Linked DNA regions of Styela clava. The main gene of each other region encodes a partner of the protein of the gene in region 2 in a complex. Links are inferred from orthologs where the notes say so. Each region holds a gene or a part of one and is shown on either strand. Other genes may lie near its edges.

Region 1 (6,414 bases), on a different chromosome or scaffold from region 2:
GTTGTTTGTTGATATTGGAGGAAGCCATAACCGCTATGGCGATTCGGAGTCTCGCAATTTTCTCGCACATATTTAACCCTTTCCATGCGATTTTTATCTTTTATTAAATAATCGTATTTGCTACACCGACTTTATGCATTTGTACCCCCACAACTAATCGATCGACTAACGAAAAAGTAATGATCCTCTGCTGCCCACTGACGGCTCGTTGGAAAGCTTATTTAAAGAGCTTGCAATTGGCGATTGAAAATTTTATTTTTTCAAAAGGGGTGGTCTGAGTCACAAACCGGATAGAAAAAAGGCATTTTTTTTCTTGGGTGTTGAAACTTCAAACCGTGAAAAAAAATAGAAATATTCGCTAAATCCTTTACTGTTACCGCTTCTTGGTTGGCAAACAATAGCATAATATTGCTGTAGCAATTTCGTTATCTAACTCAAAATACTTTGGTAGATGGAAGGAATAATATGTCTTCTATTACCACCCAAAAAACACCGAAATTTGCATAAATTTCAAAAATACTCCCTCGTTCCGCCGCAAATAAAATTCCCATGGTAAACGAAAGCGAGATTTACCGTCGCTTATGTTAATCTCGAAGAAGACTTCTTATCAATAAACTAAAACCCGGAAAAACTAGACCAACAGTTTGCGACCGATTGCTAAATAAAACAGTGGAGTACATCAACGTACCCGCCGCAAACTAGCGAGTTTTGTCGTGGGTACGTATACGTGCCCACCGCACAGAAAGGGTTAATAACCCCACAAGATTAGAACATGCGAACCAATGCAGGGTAATCAGAGGTGCGGTGGCAAGCGTATTCCTAGCGCTTGAAACGATTTACCAAACCGCCGAGCCGGCAATGTGGACATAAGATATAAATTACCACGTCAAATCTTCAAACACTGAATGGTATAACTTTGTATTTAATATAGAATAATTTTTCAGTGTAAAATTACACTTTTGCATTAGCATTGGTGGGCATTTTCACATCTTATAATCGATATTGGAGGATGTTTCAAACTCCCAAGGGTGGAAGTAGAAATTTCAGACCTAAAAGAGTCCTAATCTGTGACAACTTGAAAATGCAAGTCAATGTATCCCTTTGTTTATATATATATCTGCAGTCAAGCGATGATTGCTGTAGCATTTTAAATCAGACACCAATCATTGCTGTACTGTAGATGTAGTGTGTTAATTCTTTCAACTTTATTCATTTAACTATTGAGCCGCTTACTGTTAGCATCAGCAATTCGATACGTATTTGTTTTCTTGTTTAATAACATTTACTTGTGTTATATTTTACTTTAGATTCATTCTAATTTCTGAGTGGGCTTTAAATTTAAGTTGAATAAAGCCTTATATCAAGGTACTATATTTCTCATTCATTACTTAATCAAAGTCAAAATTTTGGCCAAAACTGAAAATAAGGAATTATGTTGACAAAGCATGATCAACACACCACAAAAGAGTCAAAAGTTCTTCGCAAACTAAAGTTGGAGTCATAGTTTTTAAATTGCTCAGAGTTTGGAGTCAGGTTCAAATTACTATTACTAAACATCCCAGTACATCAATGATAACAGTTACCTTGTTATTCTTGAGTCCATTGCATAAACCAACACATCCTGCATCACCAAATTCATTGTAATCTAAGTTGATTTCAACAAGATTTGAAACCCTGAATGCTTTAGAAAATCTGGCAACAGTGAAATGTTGAATGTCACAATCCATGAGCTCAATTCTTCTTACTGGATAAAAACCTTTTTCCAGAAGTAGTGCCTGTTATGAAATATTTAATATTATCATTAATTTAGAAAGCAAATATTTTTTCACTTTCATACACATTTTTGGTACTTCCGTAATGTGTATACCAGGCCATAATTTTATTTCGATTTTCCTTATTTTAGTTTTATTACGAGTTCAGGAAGTGTCTGCCTAATACCATTTCAGGGACTGTCTGCGTTAGCCAAGTGAATATACTCCCTGCCCATAGGTTACAGTCTCTCTACACAACTTGATGTAAAGTAGGTGGACAAAATTAATTACCTCCATATTGGTATAGATACTTCTGAAATGCCCATTTTTTTCCCTGAAGACCATTTTTAAATATGATATTATAATTGTTATCTATTGTGATATATTATGAAAAACAGCTCAGTGTTTGGCGCATCGTGCTAAGTGTTAGGATCATGTTTGATCCTAATAAATAAAATATGAGTCGACGAATAAAATAAAATTACCAAGTCAGCAACTTCATCATGTTCTGTTTCTAAATCCCAGCAACATATTTCATGAACATGAGTGAATCTTTCGTTACGAATTGATCGGACGACAGGTCGCAACCTTACCGGAGGAGTATTAGGATCTTTCATTCCTACATCAACTTCTTCAATAATGAACTAAAATGGAAGCGTAGAATTTTATTTAAAATCAAATATTTTTTAAACAAATTATTACTCTGATGAATAGAAGATCTTCTACCTTACAATGACTGGTAACAATACAATGGTTTATCATTTGAATGAGGCCTCGTATCGGCTTTTTCCCACATTAATTTATAAAATCATATACATATTATACTTTTACCGAAGTGTTTATTCATGGGATAGGGTAGCAGACGAACTAGAAATTGAATTAAAATATTCAGCCCTTGACTGACATTCTAAACCTAGCATTGACCATTTTGTTGAGAAAAACCTTTTTGGCCCATTTCAATTTTTATATTACACTAAACCGGATAGAAAGAAATATTAGACAAAAATCTGAATACTGGCCATAAATATAGCTGCCGAATTTTGGCAAACGAGTTCATAAAACACGAAGAAATAAAAAAAATAAAAAATCGCTAATGTTATTGCAAAAATTTTCGACCAATCACCTTTCTCGCATACATTCTATCTTCAATTCCTTTCTTCAATGCTTTTTGTAACCAAACACAGGGTATGGATTTATCAAGCGTGCATTGCATTTCATACGTTCCTAAAAATTTCTTCTGATAAATATCTGAATCTTCATCCCATTTCACTCTTTTTGATTTCTTTTTCCCTCCCTTTCCTTTTTTGCCCTTTTTCGCCATTCGATTGTTTATTTGCTTTTATGAAATTTAACTTGGAAATCTATGACATAATGTGAATCTATGAAAAAGAAATGCAGGATTGACTGTAGCTTATTATATTCATTACCATGTTCCGAGCTTTTATACTTATCCTAGGATGAGAAAAACCAACCATTTCTATAAAAAAATTTAAACCTTATTCCTATTCTTTGATCTGATTTTATCATTTATTTTACTCCCTATTTTGCAGATTAATATACCTTTTTTACCGATTAATAGAATGAACAAACTACTGTAACCGATTTTGACTCATGATTCAGATTAGGTAGTTATATGAAGTGACTGAAAATTTCTATTCATGAATATTAATTCGTACGGGCAGTTATAATAGTATAATTTTTTTTGTAAGTTTATATATAACTTATATTTATAAATTTATTTATAAGTTTATTAAGTTGAAAGTTAAAACTTTGACATTGGATTGTAATCAGAAATATCCATCCCCCTTCGTGTTTAGTTTAAAAAGGGTAACTGTTCTCCCCAATGATAAAATCTAATGCATACCTAAATTTACTGAAATATTTACGAAGCTGAACCTCGTAAGGGTTGTGAGTTGTAACCATGACAAAGGGTACTTCAGCGTAGGGGAATCCCGTTACATTTTCGCATTTTTCTTGTGCCGTGTTGTCATCTTAAAACCAAAAGTATTTTGCATTCCTCATCTAAAATAACATGATTGTTTTTGAAATATGTAAATACAAATATTCAAAATACAAATTATCTGTAAACAACGACTTTTCCCAATATTCATATTTCTTATCGCTATATGTCGCTCGTGTAGCACGTTGGATCTTGTGAAAAAGCCATGCCTCCCTCGCTGGCAATGTGGATGCATTGGAATTTTGGGGGATTTCCCATGTTCCTGTCAAATTTGATGTCAGGCTGACTTTTATTATTTATATATACCGACGAAATGATAAAATTTAAGACTTAAAATGAGCATTTAATGATTGATTCATAGCATGTAGATCAGCATATTTTTTTTTATGTAGGCAGGTTTAGATGAAATTCAATATGACACATTCCTGCATTCTGAAACCCCCATGCTCTTCTATGACTGTATGACCATTTCTGCATGTTTGTTCATTTACTGATTTAAATTAAAAATTGAATTGAAAACGCTTATTCCCGTATTTGGCCATTATACAGTTATATCAGTATATTAAGTTACCTATATATTTTCATGGCTCATTATTTTTTTAGTTCCAGACAGTTCTAAATAAAAATGGCAGAACTATTGAAAAGCAGTCAAATATGTGTGCCGGGGGAACGTCTCGCAAGTGCTGAACACCATCGGGCAGGATTTGGAACTTATGTAAAACGAGGATATATATTTGCATCATTAGCTGGCATGGTTCGGAGCGAACAAAATGACAAGGATATAATTACTGTATCTGTGCGATCCAAGCACCATCAACAACTTCTCCCACAAATCGATTCCATAGTCACTTGTAAAGTCACAGGAATCAGCGGTCGCTTTGCAAAATGTTTAATTACAGCCGTTAATAACGCGAGGTTGTCCGAGCCATTGCGAGGCATCATAAGACGTGAGGACGTACGTGCAAAGGACATTGAAAAAGTTGAAATTCCGAAATGTTTTCGTCCCGGTGATGTAGTTTTAGCAAAAGTTTTGTCACTAGGTGATGCATCATCTTATTTGTTAACTACAGCGGAAAATGGACTCGGTGTTGTTCTTGCACGTAGTGAAGCCGGAGAACTGATGTTGCCTATCAGTTGGCAAGAAATGCAATGTCCTGTTTCGTATGTAAAAGAATCGCGTAAAGTTGCAAGACCACAGGAACATTATTTAAAACAATAAGATGTAGATTCTGGTAAAACATCATTGTTTCCCTGTCTTCTCAGTAAAAATCGGTGATGTTTCATCCTTCTCATTTGAAAATATTGCTCTCTGCGAAGTCAACTATTCCAATCATGTCGGTTACTAGCATTTCAATATAAATTCTCTCCTTATTAGAACATTCTTTGTTATTGCGTATTCTATCGTATCGTTTGATAGAAAGTGCTGCAGCTATTTACTTGGTTGGTTTTGAATATTGGAACTATAATTTTGCAGTTAAATTCATCAAACTTCGTTTAGATGTGTAATTTTCAAACTTGCCTATTCTACTAAGTATAAAATCTTAGTTTAAGTTACAAATAACATAATAAAAATGTGTGTATTTATTTTCCATGGATATTCACATGTTGCTCCGAAATTTATTATTTTTTGTGCCATTCCCAGTAACACACTATTTTTGGTTGTCCTTATTATCACTATTTTTAATTTTTATTAAAATTTTGGCATCTGATTATCAAAACAAATTAATGAGGAAATGTTAATTAAAATGGGTGGTCTTAATTAAAACAATATTTATAAATGAGTAAAGAAAAACAGTTCCACAAAAAAACTTCTGATTAAGCTTGAAATGTTATCGAAGAAATTCTAAGTTTCGCTCATGGAAAATAAAAATGAGTATTAAACAATATTTATTATCAACATTCGAAATTGGAAAGATAACAAAACGATTTGTTTGTAAATTTTTTTTTATAAAAGAATTGTTTCTCTCTGCATTCATGTCAATATTGACAAACTTATTTGTAAATTTGAATATAGAAAATTCAACTTCTGAAACTGAAAAATCTGTCCTTGTTAAAAATAGTTTCAAAGTCATGACGATTTATTTCAAATTGAATTTCCATTTTGTATGAATTGTCTTACATTTACAATCATATCTTTTTTTCCAGGTCAAATGATTGTTAGATAGGGAATACTTTCTTTATTTCCAATATGTTAATTTTCAAAAAGCTGTCGTTGCGGCCGTTTCCATATCTTTCAGTTCGATTCAAATCTTTAAAACCATACTCTAAGCACGCATTTTTATCAGGTGATTATGACATCACAAAGACATTTCCTAAAGACTCTTATGAATTTAATTACATACGAAACCTTGCTAATGGAATTAAGAATAAAGATCGGGCCACACTCGCTCGTGCTATAACTTTAGTTGAATCAACAAATAAACAGAAAAAATTGATGGGACAGATTTTGCTACAATTGGTAATATCGGAAACATCAAGATCTTCGCAAAAATCTTTTCGAATCGGACTTTCTGGACCCCCAGGTGCAGGGAAGTCTACATTCATTGAAACAATGGGAAGCTACCTTACTGAAAAACATGATTTAAAAGTCGCAATTCTAGCTGTAGACCCCTCTTCAAGTCGAACAGGGGGGTCACTTCTCGGAGATAAAACAAGAATGACAAACTTGTCTCGTAATCCGAAAGCATACATTCGTCCTTCACC
Region 2 (7,618 bases):
GTGGTTATCTTGATTGATTTTCTGTTCTTTTACTGTTAGGATTTTCAATTTTTCATTCGACCATGACATATCAGGAAATTTTCAAATGTAAGATTTCTCAATTTATTGCTGAAATCGGGTATAAAGTACTAGTAAATTGAATATTCGAATGTTGAATGAATTTGAATATTCAATCCATTTTTGACATAACTGATAACCGATTTTAACTTTTCTCACCTTGGATATAATTCAGTTAAAATAGCAGCTTCAAAAGTCTGTTTAATGTGCATAGACAATTCTTGACCCTTTCTGTCCCCGCGTGACCGATGTTTCCTCTCAGCAGTACTAAATGTTGCTTGACTGTATTCACAGTTCAGAAATGCTTTGTCACTGAGAATCTGTGGATAGATAAATAATAATAAAGAAAGTATTCAACTATCTTTTATCTTCATACAAGCGAAATCAGGGTTTTTCAAAGATATTTCTCAGGTAAATTTAATGACAGTTTACGGTCCTTAAACCAATAGCCAAGACCAATCACAGCAAATTTCCTCAAATCGCATTTATACTCAACTCTTGAGTTTTGTAAACAACAATGTCTTCGAGTCCCAAATAAAAGTCTCTATGGCGATTAGTCATGTTATTTTGTTAGATGATTGGAGTAAATGGAAAAAGAGGCTCAAGTATCTATCTGTACAGCGTGACTGCTGGTAATTCCCATTTCTATCTTCCACAATTTTTAGCTGTGGGAAAATAAAAATATTAATATTTTTGAAAGTTGTGCCAAACATTTAAAAATTAGAATGTCGGATTAATTGTTAAATCTTTGTAGTTGGGCTTCTCAGCCCTACGCGCAAGTCACAAATTTTCTTTGTGAATCTGAGCCTCTAGTTCGAGTAAACCCTGGCCTAGTCACCACTGATTGAAAATAGTAGGTCCGCATTCCCCTTTCTAACTGTATATCAGTTGTTTGCCCAAAGCCTTTTTGCACCAGCACCAGAGCCTTGAGAGAAAGAGAAAAACTCCAGAACACATACTGTCAGGTTGTCCTCGACTTACGAGGTTGTTCCGTTCTTGTGATGCGATGTAACCCGAATTTCAGTGCAAGTCGGAACAACCAAAATGGCGAACAGTATCACTGAAACTGTGTACCATGCGACTGAAGCTTAGTGATTATTTGTTCATAATCGTAATACTTGCAATTGTCCACGTCATTCACGGTGTAAAAAAAAAAAATAATGAGTCCAAAGCACTGATTTCTTGATCACAATGATCCAGTTTAAGGGCTTAGATATTACAGACAGTACAGTATTATCTTTTATATTTTTATGGAGTGCGTAACATCGAAACAGTGTAAGTCGCGACCGCTGTAACCTGAGGACTCCCTGTACTGGCTTTTACACCCCTAAATACTGTTCAAAGCTTCGTGAAGAGCTTACACCTCAACATGAAGATTTCATGACTCAACTCAATCCTTATTATCTTACCTGTCCTCTCATATTAGATGATGGTTCATGTGGTCCATAGACTGCAGCTAATATCTGAAAATTTAATTTTTGAAATTATAAACCGGCTCATTGTTATACAATGATGGAGATGAGAGGCCATGGTTCACCAAATGATTAAGCATCGATTATTAATGAAATTCTTATACCAATTAATGTTATAAAAATAAAAAAAATAATAACATTTTTCAAAGTTATCACATATTCTACTCAAACTTATTGTGAAGTGCAAATGGACAAATGATGTATGTGACATTTGTGACATGATATAATTATTTATAAAATATATGTAAATTGCAATAAAGAGTTCATTTAGGATTGTAACCGGCTCGGCGGTTGGCACATTAAGCTTGTCATTACATTACTTATAACCAGTGGTGGGATTCAATATTTTTGTCAGCCGGTTCCATTACTAAAGTCATATTTTTCACCTGGTTCTGTTAGGATAGGATAGGATTTACATATTTATCCCGGGGGAGAGGAAAGCCGATAAGACAGCTTATCCATATGGCGAACCACGGCCTCTCGTCCGGTTACCATTCCAAGTCGGGTATGGGATTAGTTTTACTGTATTGTTTGTTTTCGGAAGCATGGACTTGGTGGTGGAGGAAGCCGTAACCGACCAGCGGTTACATGAACCACCCAACGACGGCGAGGAGTCCAGCAATCCTCTCGCACATAACCATCCCTGCATGGGATTCGAACCTGCGAACCCACGCAGAGTAGTTAGAGGTGCGGTGGCGAGCGTATTCCTAACGTTTAGCTCGTTGAGCCACACCGCCGCGCAAAAGTCATTGGGAGTAACCAGTAATCCTAACCGGTGCGCTGATCTCATGAAATTCCGTGATACGGTTTTATAGAACTGGTGCGAACTGGCTGAATCCCACTACTGCTTATAACCCATTAGGAGTTCCAATGTTTTAATCTCGTGGAGGATAAGTTAGTGCGAGGGGATCGCTGGACTGGTATATACATAAGTCAGTTACTGACATATGATTAGGCCATCTTATTAACTTTACTCTCATCTTAAAATAAATTTGAAAATTTTTTCCTTTATCATGCCTCAGCCAAATGCACCACACCTCAAAACTTTTATGAAGGACACTTTTGAGCTTCAATTTATACCAAGAAATCGATTCGGAATACAGATGGACCTGAATTGATCAAGGTCTGGCCAAAATAAACTAAATAAGACAGTGAATCCCAAAGCAGGAAATTTCCGTTCATTTGAAAAGTTTTTTTCGTTAAGGAGCTGTTTGAGTAGAACTTAGATAAAATAAGTCTTTATAGAAAAAAATATAACCAATTTCATGTACCTTAGTGTTCCCTTGCTCTAAATAGGACGAACCGTCGGCTTGTGAAAACACTCCAAGACGACAACGAATCCGGCGTAGTTCTGTTGGTAGTCTGCCATCAATTCTATACCCTTCATCAGTTACCAATTCAAGACCAGCCATAGTTATTAACTGGATTAAATATGATCAATAAAATATGAAAATTTTTTGTTTTCGAACTTTAAAAACATAATGGCTTTAAAATATTTTTCCTGTACTATTTTTTATACAACGTATTGTTTTTTACAACGTATATTGTTGCATACTGCTAGGTAGGGAAGTATAGTCTGGAAGGACACAAATATTTCTTGTTCTGCATTTCCTCCCCGATTTTTTATATTACACCCTGGGTATTTAAGTATTTGAGTATTTTAACGTAATATGTTTACTGTTACATAATGTAAATTCACTGAGAAATGGATGGCACTGTGTCTGCGAGACAGAATCAGATTTTCATCTAGGTTTGGTCAAAAATGCTTAAATTTATACGAATAGATAAATAAAACAAAACAATATTAAAGCTGCAAATGACGAGGGTTTGCAAAAAACATCAAAAATACTCAGCAACAAGTGTATGGTTATTTATGATTTTTTTTCATGCCTCATTACTTATGCGTAACACTAGCAAAGAATCCATTAAAGATTGGACAATTAGTGTGACATAGTGAGGAAGAAATAAAAAATTCCAAAATCGATAGAGTGATATTTTTAAAAAAAGCTTGGGGACCACAGGGTCATGTCTGCCACTTCATTTAGTCATATAGGATCGAACAAATGATTTGAATATTTCTGATAAAATTGAACAATATAAAGAAAGCCTATTAAACGAAGTGGAAAAATTAATTAATCACTGATTAAAATAAAACAAAATTTGGCCAAGAAATATTAAGAACTGACATCATAACAAATCTGGGTTGCAACAGGACTTTATAAACACACTGTTTATCAATTAATACTTTTGCATTTACTGAGTGAAGGTATCATATTAGAAATGAACAGGAAAATGAAACAATTTTGGCATGTAAGCACACAAGAATCTGAGGACAAAATTAATTTCAAAATATTAGGTTTTTAAAACCAAGAAAAACTGCATTTTTGGCATGAATTGCAATATCATATACTTCACGTTAATAAATATTCTGTCAGACAAATACAGTATAAATGCAGGGACGATTACACTGTAAAATGCAGTTTTGTGAACTTAGTTAAATAGCAACATCAAAAAAACTGAACAATTAAAATTAAGATATAATATAATATTTGCTCTGCAATGTAATGTAATTTCACTGTACGCATAGATGCCCAAAACATGTACAACAGTTCTTCATGTGCAATACATTTATTATTTTGCTTTCTTTTGTAGTCTTTACAGTATTGAACATTGCACCGTATTGAACTGATAGAAACGAGTTAAAATCAAAACTAGGTGTTAATATTGAAAAGCAGGTCACACAAGTGTTTAAAATATTGCAATGCAGCCATGGACCGTGAACGTTTAGGAAACCACTGGTCTTTTATCATATTCCATACACAAACTTTTAACTTCAGGCCAAATTTAGAGTATTTCCATTCGACAGGGATGCCAGTATATTGCGCTTAATATTCCTAGGACAACAGCAAGTGGGATTGCACAAAACAAAAATAAGAAAAGCTCTTATAATTATAGGGTTGCAAGAAAAAGGGGTAAATGCTTAAATTTCGCAGGCCGGATGTTGCCCTGCCCTAGACCCTACCACCGTTTCTACCAATTAGATAAATACTGAACAACGATATCCAGTTTAAAATCAAACTAATTCCAATTTCCTACATTATTTACATATTAAAAATTCTGAAGTGGCAAGATGAGTGACATTACAAGAGATAATAAAATGCTGATTGAAATCTCATGGAGGGTGAGGTTAATTTGTTAGATCAGGGGTGTGTAACCTGCGGCCCGTGAGCCACACAAGGAAAAATTGCGCAGCCCGCAAAAGTTTTTAATTTAGTTTAATCTGATACGTGCAAGAATCCCAAGTCAATACCAGAGTCCAATTTTTTTTTTTATCTATGCTTATGACGTTACAATGCCCCTAAAACAGCTAGCTTGTGCGAACAACGCATGTCGTAAGATAAATACCAAAATTTTTAAGCCTGCATGGCTGCATCACTAGAGAGTCTATTTCAATAAAGGTGTGGCCTGCAGTTTAACCCAGTTAGTTTCATTTAGCCATCCAGTATTCAAGGTTGCACACCCCTGCATTAGATAATAATGTTCAAAGGAAGGATTTAAAAAAAAAATTATCAATCTAGCTGTGGTGCTAATTATTTAATGAAAAACCATATGCATAAAATTATGTAATGAATCAGCAATTGCACAAAATTATGTAATGAATCAGCAATTGCACAAAATTACTGTTATTAATATTATAAAATCAACTTATTTATTTCACTTGAAAGAAATAAAGCAAAGTCGAATTGTCAATTCCAAATCTGGTTGGAAATTTGCCGGATACTTTATCATATCAATAACTTCTATGTTACATTTTTCCCCAAATGTGCCCTGAAGGTTCTCAATCGTGATGCAGTGAGGTGGACCTTTGCACTTTGACATATCATAAGTGATAGATTCCATCAAGATTTTTGCTTTTGGCTTCATCAGACTGAAGATTAAGTCTGTGTATTTTTGCTGAGTGGGAATATTTATCGCGACGTAACTTCCGCGGTCCCAGAACCCATCAAACTGACCACATAATTCTGGTTTTAGATCAAAAATATCACCTCTGTAAATAGTAATATTCTTCTCCTTACATTTGTAAACCACAAGACAGCTATCAGAACAGGTTGATTCTGAGTATGTCAAGTTATTTTCTTCAAAAAATGCTTCGATTCCAATTTTTGAAAACTCAAGACCGACCACCTCTAATCCTTTTTCTTCCAAGAAAATCAAATCCATCGTTTTTCCACAAAGTGGAACGAAAACACGTCCAGTCGTTCCATTTTCAAAAAGTTTCTCAAAATGTTTCACTAGCAACTGACTGTAATTTTTCCTATGAAATTTCGGGTCTTGATCTGCTGACCATTTCCATTCATCTACGGCCACTTCTCTCCTAGGTAAAGGATTAGTTTCCATGTTTGTAGAATATAGTGATATTTTACTTTCTAAGGTCTGTAATTATATATAAAATTAAGTCAATATATATGAATATTAATAAGACTTAGCACCTAGTTATGAATGAAGAGCTTTCTTGACCTACATTATTGAAGTTATTCATATCATGAAATACTATATTGATCACTGGGGTTAACATAGGTAAATAATCGTGAAAAACATCGTCAATTCCTTTGAGTGCGATCAGAGTTATGTGCGTATAAGCCTTAGTTTGGCAACTTTTTTTTCGAGTTTTAAACTCTGCTTATATGTGAGGATATACGGTAGTACTATTACTCTTTTTTACTAAATCATGATATGAATACAAGACAAGGAAAAATATATGTCAAATCATCCTGCATAGTGCAATTATTTAGAAAAAAGGTTTACATATTTAGTGCATGTAAATACAGTAGAATCAACCAAAAATTTCAAACACAGATATTACTTCATAGTCTATGAAATGGAAATAAAATTTGAAAACTTAAAACATATGAAACTGCTTTTGAAGAAAATTGGACTTTATATTCATATTCTATAGGAAGCATTTTGACTAGTAAACGATTCAGAGTGAGACAAGTATTTATTACAAATACTTATAAAAAGCAAGCAATTTAGAAATATACAGGTGTCCAAAAAGTTTCTCCCGATTTTATAGTATCAACAAATAAAAATTTCTTTGTCTTTGTATATTAATCGATCTTATTGTGCTTGTAGTTCTCATTTATTTTATTTATAAAATAAGATTTATTTTGAATTAAAATTGGTATTACTATAAAATACACCGACATTATTTGGACAAAAACGTGAATAAATTTGATTTTAATAAGAAATAGACGTACACCTTTTGATTGGCTGCACTACCCTTCCCACAATCAAAACAACAAACATTAATTTTACTTAATAAATCAGAATGATACTACAGAATGTTGACTAATTTATGTTCTTTAATAAATTAACATGTTAATCAGAAACCAGGATTAAAAGTAAAGTTGTAAGTTGTTCAACACTTCATGACTCTCTATATTATATCTGATTCACAATGGTCAATTTAAAACTTTATTTCATTGAAAGAAGACAATAGGGAAGAGTCATAATCATATCTCCTGCATTGAAAACGGGATGTGCGAGCATGGTCATTGTATCAACAACTTTAATTTCACATTTTGACCCAAAAGTGCTTTGTAAATTTTCTAAGGTTATGCAATGTGGAGGTCCACCGTATCTCGACGTGTCATAAGTGAAAGTCTCCATCAATATTTTCGCCTCTGGTTTCATCAGTTGTAAAATAATATCAGCATATTTCTGCTGAGTAGGGATATTGATTGCGACATAACTTCCACGATCCCAAATGCCATCAAATTGGCCACAGACATCTGGGTTCAAATTAAACATATCACCTCTGTAAATAGTGATATTTTTCTCGTTGCATTTGTACTGCACCAAAGGCTGATTTACAACATCCATTTTCTTGTAGGTCAAATTGTTGTCTTTGAAAAACCCTTCAACTCCGATTTCTGAGAACTCCAATCCAACAACTTCAAGCCCTTTATCAGCTAGAAATATCATGTCCAGAGTTTTTCCGCACAGCGGAACAAAAACGCGGCCTGTTTCACCATCGGCAAATAAGCAGTCGAAGTGTTTCACCAGCATAGGCGCGTATTGTGTCCTAT
Region 3 (7,159 bases), on a different chromosome or scaffold from region 2:
CGGTGCAATGTTTATTTTCACCGTAACCAATGAATGATTCTGCGTTTTATTCTAATTATTAAAGTAAAAGTATTTATTTTTGACTGTGAAAATCACAGTCGGAATATATATATATGGGTGTTAGCACGAGCAACATTCTATGATATACCAAAATTAGGTTCAGTTGTTGCATCGGATTCCTTGCCAAATTGTATCATAAATTTCTGCCATGTGGTGTTAATTATGTGTGAGAGGATTGCTGAACTCCTATCCAATGTAGGGTGGTTAACGTAACCGCTGGTCGGTAACGGCTTCCTCCACCATCACGTCCATGCATCTGAAAACGATTAACTGGCTAACTAATTTCATATTAAACATTGCCATATGATTAACCCGACATATTGGCTGTCCAGGATAAATATGTGAATCCTATCTATCACGGCATACCGCCAACACAGCAAATATCTTGCGAGCCGCATTAAATATCTTGCGAGCCGCATGCGGCTTGCCCACCGTTGCTATATCAGATTGATTTCCTAAAAAAAGCATGGGCAAGGAGCCTGGGTGACCTGACCGGTTTTGCATACTGGCCCTCACTAATAATGATCAGATAATGATCAACCAATTATAGTTAATTATATTTTAGTCTGTTACTCCAAATGTATCATAGTGTTGACATTGTTTGTGATAATAGAATTTCTCTCTCTCACCGTTTGAAAACAATAGATGTATCCCAGGACATCGATTTTCTTATTTATTTCCGTAAAAAAATCAGCAATAAATTAACAATGACGTAACAATTGGAATTTATGCTGCCGCTCAGACAGCTCTTTCGCTCAGACATTCAAGCGTGGTGTAAACATTGCCTCGTTTTGCGTGTAATTTGCCAGTCTCCAGTTCTGAAAAATAGTTGTAAATCAAACAAATTAATTGTCACTGTGGGTTCTGAGTACCTTTAGATGCGGTGTGGCGCATCGTGCTAAGCGTTAGGAATACGCTCGCCACCGCATCTCTGGTTACCCTTCACGGGTTCGCAGGTTCGAATCCCATGCGGGGGTGATCATGTGCGGAGGATTGCTGGACTCCTCGCCGCCGTATAGGATGGTTCACGTAACCGCTGGTCGGTTACGGCTTCCTCCGCCATCAAGTCCATGCTTCCGAAAACAAAATAACTGGCTAATAAATCCCATACCCGACCTGGACTGGTAACCGGACGAGAGGCCGTGGTTCGCCATATGTTCATTGATACCTTAACAATGGATCAAAATGACCATTGTTATGCTGCAGATAGTAAACGCTTGACTGATCTTCTGTTCCGTCGCATTTCTTGTCGGCGAATGCATGGGAATTAATGGATGAAGTGACAATCATACTTTGTAAAAATTTAACGTTTTGAAACACGATATGTGGGATATTTGATAGTAATAGAAAGTTTGTAACTTCAGCTCAATGATTTAGCTAATAAGGACCTTGATGATAATAGGTGATCGTAAAAATCGATTGCTTTTCAGAGGATGGATATCCCAACAATTTCCGTGTCCAAAGCTTGCGAAATACTTATCTTAAGCATGATTAACCTAAATTTGGCATATTGTCCCGGCACAAAATGTCATAATAAAGGGTCGATTAGACTCGCGTTACAATACACACTTTCAGTGGCACAGCCAAGATTTTCAAAGCGGTGGGAAGATCAAAATTCGGAAATTTCCATGAAATGGGTCCTGAAAAACATTCGCCGAATTACGCCACTCGTAAAAATAGTCGGATTTTTTCAAATTGTCAACATACGGAAGGTCGAAAACTTGAATACCACGTGTAGTGTAATTTGAGATTAATTTAATGCAGTGCTTGAATCAGGGATGTCCAATTCGAAGGTAATATTTGAATATCGCGACCTTCGAATATCGTTTTTTCGAGTTTATAAGCGCACATATCCTAGCGCCGCGGTCCATGTTCCGATTAAAAACATTTTACAAATACTTCATTTTTATCGTAATCGGAGGCAGCCGTGTACGCAAGGCAATATATTACAGCCGCATGGGAAGATTTCAATTAGCGCTGACTTGAATTGGTTATAACACGTCGGAGATTTACGAATAATATACGAAATTATTATCGTACATTTAAAATTTAGTTGAGATAGTTTGTGAGGCCTCGGCGATAATTCTAAAAGCAAATTGTGTCGCTATTTATCGTTTTCATCCTCAATTTCGATAGTGACCGTACATCACGGGAAATTTTTCATTCCTTGCAATTTAGAGCGTGTGGAATAGCTCTTAAATATTATTCAGTATCTATTACGAATTTTATCGTTTTCCCGACGTCGTTGATGACAATCAAAAATGAAATCGTAACTACTGGCATGAAATATTTATAACAGCACTGAATCGAATAATAAAACACGATTTCCGGTCTTAACTCTCCATCATTGACGGATGGAAATTCAGGAATCGGATTCACTTTGATGGCGCCCCAGAAGTATGTGCACCAAGATGGTGGACACCGGAACGTAGTATGTGTACCAGGTTCGAGTTCAGCCACAATTTTTCCTTATTTTTGTTCTATTATGAGTTCCGGGACTAGCCAAGTGACTCCCGTATAGTATTTGTACCTGAAATTATGGCCCAACCCTAACCTGGTACACATACTACATTCCGGTGTCCGCCATCTTGGTTCACATACTTCGGGAGTACCCATTTGATTATGAAAATGATCGCGTAATGATATTTGCGTTTTTTCTGAATCAACAAATGGTTTAGTGAGCAAAATGAAATAATAATAAAAAACTCAGATCGCCATCCTCTCGCTCTACACGGTCTACCGTTCGAAGTTTTTATTGGTTATTCCTCTATTCTTTCTATGTGTACATTTTCTTTTTATTATGTGGTAATTTAATTCTAACATGTTATTGTTACGGGTTTACCCGGTATTAAAATTTATATAAATGTTACGTCCGAGTTTTGTGTAGGCTTAGAACGAATTAAGGCATTTATATGAAAACTGCGTCCTTACTTACAGAATTTTCTACTTAAGATGGGGCTCCCGAAACGAATTAATTTTGTAGGTAGAGTTTCTAATGTATTGACAGCCAGTTATAAGATATCGTATTTAAAAAAAATTCCAAGATTTACTCTAAAATCCCAAAGTCTACCCAAATTTATATTGGTACTCCTCTCTGCCACTTCTATTATTTTTTATGAAAAATCCCTAGGTCTCGGATAAAATATCAAAAAACTACGATTTGTTTTAGTACATTAAAAATTGACTGAATACGCCTTTATATATATACATTATACTATATTCCATAATAACCAGAGTAAAAGTTGCATGTGGCCCCAACGATAGTTTCAGAATGCCTTAAAACAGGGATGTGCAAACTGTGGCTCGATAAGAAAATTTGTACCGCTCGCGGAGAAGCGCCAATTTTGAATGGTGTTGCCATTTAATTTTGAATGTTGTTTTTAGATCATTTAATTTGGTATATGCCGGAGGAAATTTTTGATTCAGGGAGAATAAACACCGACGTAAAGATGTTTAATAAGGTATAACGTTTCTCGCTGACGAAAACAGTCGGCGATTGTACCAAAATGCAATCGCGCAGCAACCTTTTAAGTCTTCCAAAAATATCAAAAGGAAAAAGATTCGACCCCTAATTTATTAATATGTTGGTCAAGTGTTAAATTTACAGCCTTAATATATATGATTTATCTTTGAAATTTAGATTTATTTATGACTTGTATTAACCCTATTAAAAAAGGTTTAGCATTTAAATCGAGTAAAGTACTTTTAACTTACTCAGTAGTATTAATCGTTAAGTAACAATTTTAAAATTTATTTTAGGGCTCCTTGAATAATAGTCAACATCTTCACGGGCTCCGCAACACCAAAAGTTTGAGAACCCCTGCAATAGACTATATCAGACCAAAATTAGCTATCGATGCCTATAAGCGGCATGTGGCTTATCGTAATAAATAAAAATGAAAGTTCTGAACATGTGAGCCAGTTTGTAAGCGCTAACACTCCAAAACGTTCTCAAAATCGAAGTTGTAAATTTTGCAATGATAAAGTATGGGGAGAATCTTCCAGGGGTCAAGGGTCGGGGAAACGTCCATAATCTTGTTGTGGCGCACATGTGCCACCTCATGGAAGACAAAATAAACGAGATGAAGTTCGCCACACAACAGTCAACAGCTCCAATTTCGTGTTTTCCTGCTAACTTCACAGAGATAACGAAATTGCGTGGTTTTCAGTATCATAGTTTGGAGATAGTGTACGGTACCGCTGGTCGGTGGTATGACTGAAATCTGAATCGTGGAATAGCCAATCGGTAATGGAATCAGGAATTCTAATTCGTCGGCCTGCTGCATACTCGAAGTTGCCCACGAAGAAGGGCTCACACGGATTGGCACATTTCGTAACTCCTGGAGATATTGTCACAGATGATACAGATTATATGAGAGGGCATGGTGAGACAACAATGTTGTTTACCTATAACAGTATAAAGGCATCTTTTCATTTGCAAATTTATATGACAAAGAACTGACCAATTCTTGTTTGGAGTTTCAGAGTTTTATGTATTTTTCCATTGCAAGTTTTCTCCTTTATGTTCAGGAAGTTACATGAGAGATGAAAAACTTCATGCTTGTGTTGCTGGTGTTGTGGAACGGATAAATAAACTTATCAGCGTGAAACCTCTCAAACTGCGTTATAATGGTGAAGTTGGTGATATTGTTGTTGGAAGGATAAAGGAAGTTCAACAAAAAAGATGGAAGGTATAAAATTGTTTTTACATAAACATTTTGATATCAATTATTGACCTCTCACACTTTTTATAAATGCTTATTGGCATTATCCAAATAAAGTCCAACTGAATATTGTTATTTTGAATGTAATTCAGATAATTTAAAAGACGTCAAAATCAGCACACTCATTGAACATATTTTTTATATAGAAACCGTTTCACACTCTTAATGAGCAAGTCACTGGACAAGCAATCACTGATACATACTTAGTAATGGGGTTTGTGAAGACCTCATTATTTCTGTTTTGAAGCCCACCTTTGTCTATTTCAGTTAGTTGGCCCCAATTCTATTTCTTAGATTGAAATAGCATAAATTAACAGCACTGTCATTTTTCCAAAGAAATTGGATTATGTTGACAACACAAACTAGTTTGAATAGAAATAAAGTAAAAGAAAACAGTAAACAAATTTCTTGCCTGAATACCTGTGCAAACAAATAGACGCAAGGGAAAAAAAAGTTAAAAAGTTGTTCATTTAAATATGTGTATTTTACCACTGCCCTCTCTATTTTCAGGTGAACACCAATTCCAGAGTAGATTCGGTTTTACATCTTTCATTTGTTAATTTGCCTGGTGGTGAACTAAGAAGAAGATCAGCTGCTGATCAACTAACAATGAGAGAATATTTAAAAGAAGGAGATCTGATCAGCGCTGAAGTTCAACAGGTCTGTACAATCTTTATTATTTGTGTTCATATTTGAAATATTACTTAAACCAGGATCGTGCACACTCACTCAAAAGTTAAAGATGTCACCTTTGAATAGAGTCATTGGCTACTATTGAAATATCAAGGGAAACTGAAACCACACAGATATATGTTAATAATTGATGACTCACACATAAGTCAGGTTTTTCTCAACTGGACATTGGCAGACTGAATAGCAGTTCTTATGAGCAAAACATATATGAGTTTATTCATGTAACTTGTTATGTATCAATGTAATGCAATACAGTTTATCATCATTAACAAATCTATTCAACTCAGTGTCATATGTTTTTGTCATTTACAGTGAATATACTGCCAATTTTTTTTAATGTGGCTTAGGTGCATAATGATGGATCTCTTTCACTACATACAAGGAGTCTGAGATATGGGAAATTGGGGCAAGGTTGCTTAGTTGTAGTTTCTCCATCATTGGTAAAAAGAAGGAAAAATCATATTCACAATTTACCATGTGGTGCTACTGTTGTTCTTGCAAATAACGGCTTTATTTGGATCTATGCAACACCTGCTACTGATAATGAGGAAATGGATAAAGGTTGGTTTGAAGAATCGTTGAATGACTGGTTTGAATCGAATGTTCAGTCACTAAACTTATTCAATCTTACAAAAATATCAGAGTTTTGTGAATTCATTTATTTTGTAATGCTGAGGAGACTTTGTGAAGCTCGTAATATCATGCTCTTATCATGTTACATCTTACTCTAATTCATTCTAAATTTGCTCCCGGCTTTGAGTAGATAATCTTGATCCTGGTTTTGCAAAAAATGGCCCTCAGCCCGCTAAGTGGCTACAATTATTTAGAGTCAATTGGCGGTTTCGTTCGTTTGCAGGCGTTTTATATTAGGCTGCGTTGCATATAACACATGTTGATTGTGTTATATTATGTTGAGGGTCTTCAGAACCAGTCGTTTAGACTCTGATACTAGCCTCAGATTTGCGCAAATTTGTTTCTGAATCCAAACAAGAGATAGCAAAGCATTGACATTCTTTGAATTTATCATAGAATCAACTGATTTTGCTCTGCACTAATCCTGGCCAAGAGCAAGAATCATATTTGCTGCCAATTATTTCTTCAAATGCTTTGCAACAATTGTTGTTTTATAGGTCATGGCGGATTTGTTGCAGATGTTGAACCAGTGGCATTAGAAGATAGAGAAGTTATTTGTAGACTTCGGAATTGTATAAAATGTCTTGCACAACATAATATACAACTTTATGATACAAGTATAATGTACACCTATGATGTTTCACTCAGCCATCAGGTTTGTTGTTTGTAAAACATATCAATTACACTGTCCTGCGGGGGATGATGCATAAATGGAATAGGTAGGTAAGTGACCATGATTCAGTGCAGAGGTCACCAAAAGGGTGGTCTCCCTCCTGTCCAATTTCCCACCCGTTCTGCAACGAACTAATTTTTACACTCACTTGTCATAATTGTCGTGTAAATGTATGGGATGCCAACCCAGTTTGTGTCGAGCATTTCAATTGCATATATAAATAATATATTTAGGTGGCATGCATGAGTATATTTAAGTATCTTTGATTAGTATTCTGGTAAAATTTTTGCTATTCAGATCAAGGAACTACTCAATCCTGACATCATGAGTGATGTTGTAAATCAAGCTGTGTTGAGGTTACGAAGAGAAGAGTCCT

Evidence for each region.
Region 1: exosome complex component RRP41-like (region 2) and exosome complex component CSL4-like share a complex: the UniProt entries of both Caenorhabditis elegans proteins name them as parts of the RNA exosome complex. The link is inferred for Styela clava from reciprocal best matches to the Caenorhabditis elegans genes exos-4.1 and exos-1.
Region 3: exosome complex component RRP41-like (region 2) and exosome complex component RRP4-like share a complex: the UniProt entries of both Caenorhabditis elegans proteins name them as parts of the RNA exosome complex. The link is inferred for Styela clava from reciprocal best matches to the Caenorhabditis elegans genes exos-4.1 and exos-2.

Annotation. Positions count from the first base shown.
Region 1 is NC_135261.1:9,032,228-9,038,641, forward strand, and holds exosome complex component CSL4-like, read left to right. Parts: upstream 1-4,314; 5' UTR 4,315-4,336; coding exon 4,337-4,930; 3' UTR 4,931-5,856; downstream 5,857-6,414. Other genes in the region: uncharacterized protein LOC120329759, read right to left, coding at 1,584-1,775, 2,237-2,395, 2,875-3,072; methylmalonic aciduria type A protein, mitochondrial-like, read left to right, coding at 5,900-6,414. UniProt on the Caenorhabditis elegans protein: Non-catalytic component of the RNA exosome complex which has 3'->5' exoribonuclease activity and participates in a multitude of cellular RNA processing and degradation events. Involved in regulation of antisense ribosomal siRNA production.
Region 2 is NC_135257.1:18,366,713-18,374,330, forward strand, and holds the start of exosome complex component RRP41-like, read right to left. Parts: upstream 3,036-7,618; 5' UTR 2,942-3,035; coding exon 2,801-2,941; intron 1,521-2,800; coding exon 1,467-1,520; intron 378-1,466; coding exon 217-377; intron 1-216. Other genes in the region: thiopurine S-methyltransferase-like, read right to left, coding at 5,244-5,927; thiopurine S-methyltransferase-like, read right to left, coding at 7,005-7,618. UniProt on the Caenorhabditis elegans protein: Non-catalytic component of the RNA exosome complex which has 3'->5' exoribonuclease activity and participates in a multitude of cellular RNA processing and degradation events.
Region 3 is NC_135254.1:13,467,795-13,474,953, reverse strand, and holds the start of exosome complex component RRP4-like, read left to right. Parts: upstream 1-4,134; 5' UTR 4,135-4,309; coding exon 4,310-4,445; intron 4,446-4,590; coding exon 4,591-4,751; intron 4,752-5,294; coding exon 5,295-5,444; intron 5,445-5,824; coding exon 5,825-6,038; intron 6,039-6,607; coding exon 6,608-6,765; intron 6,766-7,080; coding exon 7,081-7,159. UniProt on the Caenorhabditis elegans protein: Non-catalytic component of the RNA exosome complex which has 3'->5' exoribonuclease activity and participates in a multitude of cellular RNA processing and degradation events. Involved in regulation of antisense ribosomal siRNA production.